Tribolium castaneum: one gene and its partner. The protein of the gene in region 1 interacts with the protein of each later gene in a pairwise test. Links are inferred from orthologs where the notes say so. Each region holds a gene or a part of one and is shown on either strand. Other genes may lie near its edges.

Region 1 (4,094 bases):
CGAATTGTTCGGGGGTGATGAGACTCTCTAAATTGTGATATGATTTTTGTTAATGCTAATAATTTGCATAAACTGAATCGAGTTGCGAGATATACGTTGTCAATAACTATATAAGTGACTAAAGTTACGTTTGCTGATTTTTTTGATATTGAAAAAAAAACCAAAAACTAGTCGCTCAAAAGCACCAAACATTATTTTTTATACAATTTTTTTTTATTTTTTTTATTTTAAAAAATCGTCTCTCAAAAATACCCAACGGTTGTTTTGTATTTTCGTCTTGTTAAATTTTTTTTATAAAAGTTTAACAGTTGGTAATTGAAACCCTAAATATAATTTCTAATATCCCGATTTCAACAAATATAAAAATAATAAAAATAAAAAAACTACGAAACTAACAACAATGCACAAAATATTGTGTAATTAAAAAAAATACTCTGTTGATGATGAAGGATGACAGTCAAATACATGTTCGAACTAAAAAACAAAAAGACAGAAGAAAAAACGAAACTTCTGAAAAAAAAAAAAAGTTTTTTTTTTCTTGAGTTGGTATTTACTTGGTCTAAACTTTAAATTAGGTCGGCTATAGATAAAAACAAAGGTTTGGGACTTGGGCCCACTCTACAATTATCAAATAACAAAAATGGGAGAATAAAACACTTTTATTATTATTAAATTTCTCAAAAATAAGCCGAAAAGTCACTAACCTGCGTCAAAAATGGTGATAATTTTGCATTTTTTGGGAGTTTTATCACCATTTTAAACTTAAAACTCAATTATTTTACATTTTTGAGCGTGTTTAGTACATTTTTCAACAGAAATACAGTTGGTTAGAATAATTAATAAATAATAATATATTAAATAGACTGAAAAAGCACCTCAATTTTTATTTAAATTGGCTTTTTGACAAAATTCTTCAAAACAATGGAGATTTTCGCTCAAAAACTTACTTACTTACTTAATGAAAAAGGCAAGAAAAATATGAAAGTAAATTTTTCGGCGCATTTTAATGCAATTTCGTATAAAAACAAAGCTAGATTATTTTAAGAAATTAAGCTGTTAAAAAAAACATTACATTTGATTAATTCTGTCACGAAACTTTGCAGTTCCTGGCTCCAAAACAAATAAACCTACCAGAAATTCTTAAAACTAGGACGTCAATTTTATCTCAATTTGCTTATTTTTGACAAAATTTTACAAAAAAGTCAGTTTCTCGCTAAAAAAAATAAATCTAACGACAAAAACTAAAATAATGTCGAACCAACCGTAACTTTCGATATATTTAGATATTTTTCGGGGTATTTAATAAAAAAAAAGTTTTCAAAAAAGAGAAAACATTGTCAAAATGACATAAGTTTTGACATATTTAGATGATTTTTCGGTGCATTTTCACGAAATGTGTCCAAATCACTACTGAAGAAAACGTCAATTTCGACCTAATTTAGTCATTTTTTGACAAAACTTTCAAGAACAAGTAAGTCTCATACTCAAAAACAAGATAAGTTTAATAAAAAAAAGGCAAAATAATCTGGAAATAACGCTATTACTCAACATATTTAGATGATTTTTTAGCGTTTTTATGAAGTTTTGCTTCAACAAAAAAGCAAAGTCACTTTAAAGAAAACATACACTTTAATCTAATTGGAACTGTTTTTAAAGAGTGTCAAATTCAGGTCATTTTCGACATATTTAGATGATCTTTTGACGTGTTTTAATTAAATTAAACTCAAAAAAAGTTATAAATCATATTAAAAGTGTTTAAAAATGCGTTTTATCAAAAAATTTATCATTTACTACAAGTTTGTAGTTAATAATCAGGACCCAGTATCAACAATATGGTGTCAATTTAGATAACAGATGTAACCTTAGTTACTAGACTACAGTCATTGCCAACATATTTTTCTCGTATCACGCAATCTTGATTAGTTTAAATGACTGGTGGCAGGTTTAAAAATTATTCAAGAATTAAATTTCAGATCAAAATGCGCTAATAAGTATTCGAAAATAAGTTGATAAGAATAAATAATGTAAAAGTTACAACTTTATTTCAAATGCAGAGCGTACTGTGATTAGAAAAACCCAAAAAATTACCGTTTTTATTCCACGTGAAAGTGTCTCTCAGCTTCTGCCCCTCAATTTCCATATCCAGCCTTATCGGGACCAACAACTCCCCTTGTGCCGCATTTTGCATATTCAGCTCTGGATCAGTATCATCAAAACATAACGGAAACGTCCGAACTTTCTTCGCCGCCACTCTGTTCCGATTAATCGGGGTGGCTTGGGGCACAGCGTCCAAATGACTGGAGTTTGGGAGTGAGGGCACCCATTGCATCGACTTCTTCGATTTACTCTCCCTCGGCATCGGCGGGTCCGAAGTGTGCACCGAAACAGCCTTATACCTAAATAATCAACAAATAACAACAAAACCCCCAAAAAACAAACCAACTTTTCGTCATTTCCCTCAATGATATCCTCGACTTCCGAGGCCCGAAGCAGTGAGACACTGCTGGCCAGAACGTGCTGGCTCAAGCCCAGCTCGATGAGGCGTTTGCGTTCCTCGTTTGTGATTGACCTGCGGTACATTCCGGGGTATTTCTTGTAGAGGGAACCCCGGAACAGGCGCAGGTAGTTCCCCACCTCGGAGCCCACACAGTAATACTCCCCATTTTCCTCCAATTGGAAAGTTATCGGTTTTTCACCGAATGTTCGGAGGGCCATTTTGCCGCGTCCTTTAACACTGTGAGGTTAGGTGACACCAACAAATGTCAACAGGGCACTCAAATGGAAAATACGGGCATAAATTACACAAAGCAAGGACACGATTCACATTATTTCGTTTGGTTTTGCACGAGATGGTACTTGGGGTTAATTAATTCAAACAATTCGTAAAAAAACACTTTTGGTGGCTAGTCTAATTGACAAAACTGAAATCACCAGAAATGCATTAACTAGGCGTCCTCTGGTGACGACATGTCGTACTTGCCGAAAACAGTAACAAGTTTTGGTAATTGCTCATTTAATGGATTATTTAGCAATTCTGCGTGTGTACTGTTAATTTTTTACATTAGAGAGAGTCAATTTAAAATTATATGCCGGTAAATACTAGTGTTGCCTTTGGTTTTGCGTTTTTTCGTGATTATAAAGTGTTTTATGTTGGACTTTGATAAAAAAGTGAAAAAGATTTTTGATTACAAAGAGTTATTTAATCTATTGCGTAATCAAAAACTGTTAAGTATTGGGTCATTTACGGCGATTTACACACTACTGTTCCTTTCGGCATTGTATTGAGATCTCCGGATAATTTTATTGACTTAAAAGATATAAATATTGAAAGAAAGTGTTATTTGTGATAATTGAAGTAATTTGTTTAAGGAGATACTGTAATGAATCACTAATAACCAATAATAATCCATTTAAATAATCACACAAAAATCAGCGTTTGTGATTTTTTTTGCTTTATTTCTTTCTGTAAGCCTTCGAATTTTATCAGATTTTTTCTACAATTTCTTATAAATAATAAATATTAATTAATGAGAAATATTTATATTAATAAAATATTATTTTATTTAAAAAAAACTAAAAACATTAACTAATGGAAATTTTTATGATTTATAGAACAAGCGATGCTTGCAGAATGTTTTGTACAAAAAAAAATATGTAAAAAAATAAGTGTTCTACAAACGACTTGTTATTTACAGAAATACAATTTCTTTATTTGTTAATGCTTTTGAAGATACGTTCGATGAATAAGTAGATGTGGTTTATAATTATAAACCTAGTGTTTTCAAAGATATGAAATTACGATTCTCTTGTTTTTCTAAAGATGTCTTGTTCTCATTTTTTGATATCCAACGGTTTTATAACGTGAGATTTCTGAATTTTATTTATTTTATTTAGTTATAGTTCATTAAACATTCATAAAAGATATAGGACTGCAATAGCTAAATGGAAAAAATTGAGGAACAGCGAAATAATTTTGGAAACATGTTAATTTTAACCAGCTGAGTCAATTGTGCCGCCCGACGTCACACCTAGAGAGACTTTGAGGTCTCATAACTTTTTTATTTTTACGAACATAAAAAAATGAAAAGTACCAT
Region 2 (3,342 bases), about 1.8 Mb from region 1:
ATGGGGGCCCCCTTAAACATTTTTGTGTTGTAGGCACACACTATTTTGCTCGTCCAGCCGGGGGCTAACCCCGAGACTCGCACCTACTCAGATTACGAGTCGGTGAATGAGTGTATGGAAGGTGTTTGTAAAATATACGAGGAGCATTTAAAGCGCCGGAACCCCAATACTCCCACAATCACCTACGATATTTCCCAGTTGTTTGATTTTGTCGATCAGGTATTTGTGCTAATTGTTGCAATTTTTCGTAAAAGTGGCTTTCAGTTGTCCGATCTGAGTTGCTTGGTGTACCAGAAATCGACAAACACCTACGCCCCCTATAATAAGGACTGGATAAAGGAGAAAATCTATATCTTGCTGAGGCAAGCAGCAGGACATGCAGACTAAGGGAAAAACTAAACTAGAATCTTACTTTAAGTTTTACTTAACGTTTTCTTTAATTATAAATGTATTAAACCTAGGTTAAAACACGTAAACATGACTGCTTTCAATTCCTAACCGGTCTATTATTTCTTTAATTTCCCGCCCAAATGTTTCACTCCCGCTTATCATGACTTGAACTTGACCCAACTTTCCTTGGACGTAATTTTCTAAATCACAGAAAGACATTTTTTTATTATGAATAGTCTCGTGGTACTTTGCCACGTTTTGATCACAGTTATTGCAAAAAACCTCGTAATTAAAATTCCAAAACGACCCCAACTCATATAATTCGTCCCTCAGTAAAATATCGTCACAATTCCGGACACAAAAAAATAATTTAACAAAACTTTCACACTCTTCATTGTGCACAACAATATCACGGATTAGGGCGTATAAGGGGGCTATTCCGGTCCCCTGAGCGATAAAAACCAAAAACTTGTGCGCATAATCGGGGGCAAACTCGCCGTAAGGCCCCCGCCAGGACGTTTCGCCCCCCACTTGCATTGTTTTGAACAGTTGGGACATCCGTCCCGTGTCGTATAACCTGACCAGGACCGTAAACTCCAAACTTGCATTTTGGGGCACCGGAATGGGGGTGTAGGCCCTTGTGAATTCACCTTGGGGGTCCCGCCCCCTTAACAAGAAATACTGTCCCGGCTTGTAGTCCAAACAATTCGGTTGTCTCTCCCTACAATCGGCGTATTTAAACGTGTAAAAAAACACACTTTCGTTGATTTTTTTCCGTCCAGTTAGCACAAAAACTGTGTAAGAAGTGGGGTTAAGTGCATTGACAGCGCCACTTTTTTCTCGCCCTAGTTTTTGGTATTTCCTCAACTGGGCCTCGTACACGTCCAAAATGCACGGATTGCAACCCGAATTGCAACAATCAGCCTCGTCTGGGGGCTCCATAGCCTCAAAAACCGGGCGCTAGCGCGCATGCGCGTGCCATTTCTCTGGTAATTGTTAGTAATTTTCGCGCGGTGGTTGTGGTACCGCAACCTCTTCTCGTGTGGCGGTTCAAGATGGCAGTTGGTAAAAATAAGGGGCTGTCCAAAGGCGGCAAAAAGGGCGTTAAGAAGAAGATGTAAGTCAAAAATTTGTACTAAATTGTGTGCCCCGGTGCTGTCTAGGCGTCCCGCCGGTGAAAACCGGGCGAAAATCGGCCGGATGGGTGGGAAAAAGTGTGATAACGTGGGGTTGTTTTTGTAGTGTGGACCCGTTCACCCGCAAAGACTGGTACGATGTTAAGGCCCCCTCGATGTTTGCCACCAGGCAGGTGGGCAAGACGCTGGTGAACCGTACGCAGGGTACGAAAATCGCGTCCGAGGGGCTCAAGGGGCGCGTGTTTGAGGTGTCTTTGGCCGACTTGCAGAATGATAATGATGCTGAGCGGTCGTTCAGGAAGTTCAGGCTCATTGCCGAGGATGTTCAAGGTGCGTAGCGTTCATTATTTAAAAAACTGTTCCAGGTGGCTTTACATGATGTGAACACCCAGCTCGCATTGAATTAAAACTGTTGAGAATTTTGAAGTCTGACCCAATTTTACCCTTCTTTGGGGGGCTTGATGTGTTACAGTGTTTCAAATTTGGCGGTTTCAGGTCGCAACGTCCTGACCAACTTCCACGGCATGGACTTGACCACCGATAAGTTGCGTTCAATGGTCAAAAAGTGGCAAACTTTGATTGAAGCCTCAGCTGATGTCAAAACCACCGATGGTTATTTGTTGCGTGTTTTCTGCATCGGCTTCACCAATAAGGACCAGTTGTCGCAACGTAAAACTTGTTACGCCCAACATACCCAGGTAATCACTCGTGTGGTTGAACTATTATTTAAAATTGGCGCCGTTTTGTGATGAGACACTCAGCTCGCATTGATTCAAACGTGATGAGAATTCATGTTCCCTATTAAAATCAAAGTCTGATTGTAATTTTCTTGAAAAAGTGGGGGCAAGCTGTGGCAATTGTTGATCGATTGTTTGCCGTCAGGTCCGTGGCATTCGCAAGAAGATGGTGGAAATCATCACCCGGGACATCACCGGGAGTGACCTCAAGGAAGTCGTAAATAAACTACTTCCGGATTCGATCGCGAAAGACATTGAAAAGGCCTGCCAGGGGATTTACCCACTTCATGACGTGTACATTCGTAAAGTGAAAGTCTTGAAGAAGCCGCGTTTTGAGCTTTCCAAGCTTTTGGAATTGCACGGGGATGGGGGCAAAGGGGGGTCGGGTGAGCCCGGGGAAGCGGGTGCTAAAGTGGACAGACCCGAAGGATATGAACCACCAGTCCAAGAGTCTGTTTAATTTAATTGTTTATAAGAAAAAACAAAAAATAAACGTTTGAATACGACGTGCTATATTGATTTTTTCAATTGGCTCAGTTTGGTCAGAGCCAAGTCCCGCCAATTCCTGCGTTCCTGTAACTTATCCAACGGGACCGAATTCTCCAACTGTTTGGCGATTTCCTGCACAAGGGGGCCCTCCCACTTTTGCAACGGTTTAAAGTCCTTGCTGACTGAATAAATCGTGTTTGAATATTTCTTGCAATAGTCGACGAAGCCCTCGGCGTTAAGGTGAGTGGTTTCAAGGGGGCCCAGAAAGGCGTAGCGCATGCCGAGCCCGTCGGACATGACCTTGTCGATGTCTTTGACATCGAGGACTCCGTCGGAGACAAGGTTCCACGTTTCGTTCAAAAGGGCGTACTGTAGGCGATTTACAACAAAACCGGGGACTTCCTTAGTCAGTGAGACGGGAGTTTGCCCGATTTCCTCCATAATAGCGCGCGTTTTTTTGGTGACTGCGGGGTCAGTCCAGGGCGCTGGCACGATCTCGACCAAGGGCACGTAATACGGGGGGTTCACCGGGTGCGACACCACGATGTTTTTCCTACAAGTCGCAATTAAATTACAGAAATTGTTGTGCC

Evidence for each region. The genes of interacting proteins can lie anywhere in the genome.
Region 2: the proteins of Snr1 (region 1) and RpS3A interact in a two-hybrid assay, tested with the Drosophila melanogaster proteins (2 studies listed by BioGRID). The link is inferred for Tribolium castaneum from reciprocal best matches to the Drosophila melanogaster genes Snr1 and RpS3A.

What each region holds. Positions count from the first base shown.
Region 1 is NC_087401.1:13,705,400-13,709,493, forward strand, and holds the start of Snr1 (SWI/SNF-related matrix-associated actin-dependent regulator of chromatin subfamily B member 1), read right to left. Parts: upstream 2,942-4,094; 5' UTR 2,716-2,941; coding exon 2,444-2,715; intron 2,397-2,443; coding exon 2,089-2,396; intron 28-2,088; coding exon 1-27.
Region 2 is NC_087401.1:15,473,792-15,477,133, reverse strand, and holds RpS3A (small ribosomal subunit protein eS1), read left to right. Parts: upstream 1-1,371; 5' UTR 1,372-1,445; coding exon 1,446-1,507; intron 1,508-1,632; coding exon 1,633-1,856; intron 1,857-2,021; coding exon 2,022-2,224; intron 2,225-2,408; coding exon 2,409-2,723; 3' UTR 2,724-2,769; downstream 2,770-3,342. Other genes in the region: e(r) (enhancer of rudimentary homolog), read left to right, coding at 34-219, 265-387; NADH-cytochrome b5 reductase-like, read right to left, coding at 463-1,332; Had1 (lambda-crystallin), read right to left, coding at 2,774-3,305. UniProt on the Drosophila melanogaster protein: Essential for oogenesis; required for late follicle cell development.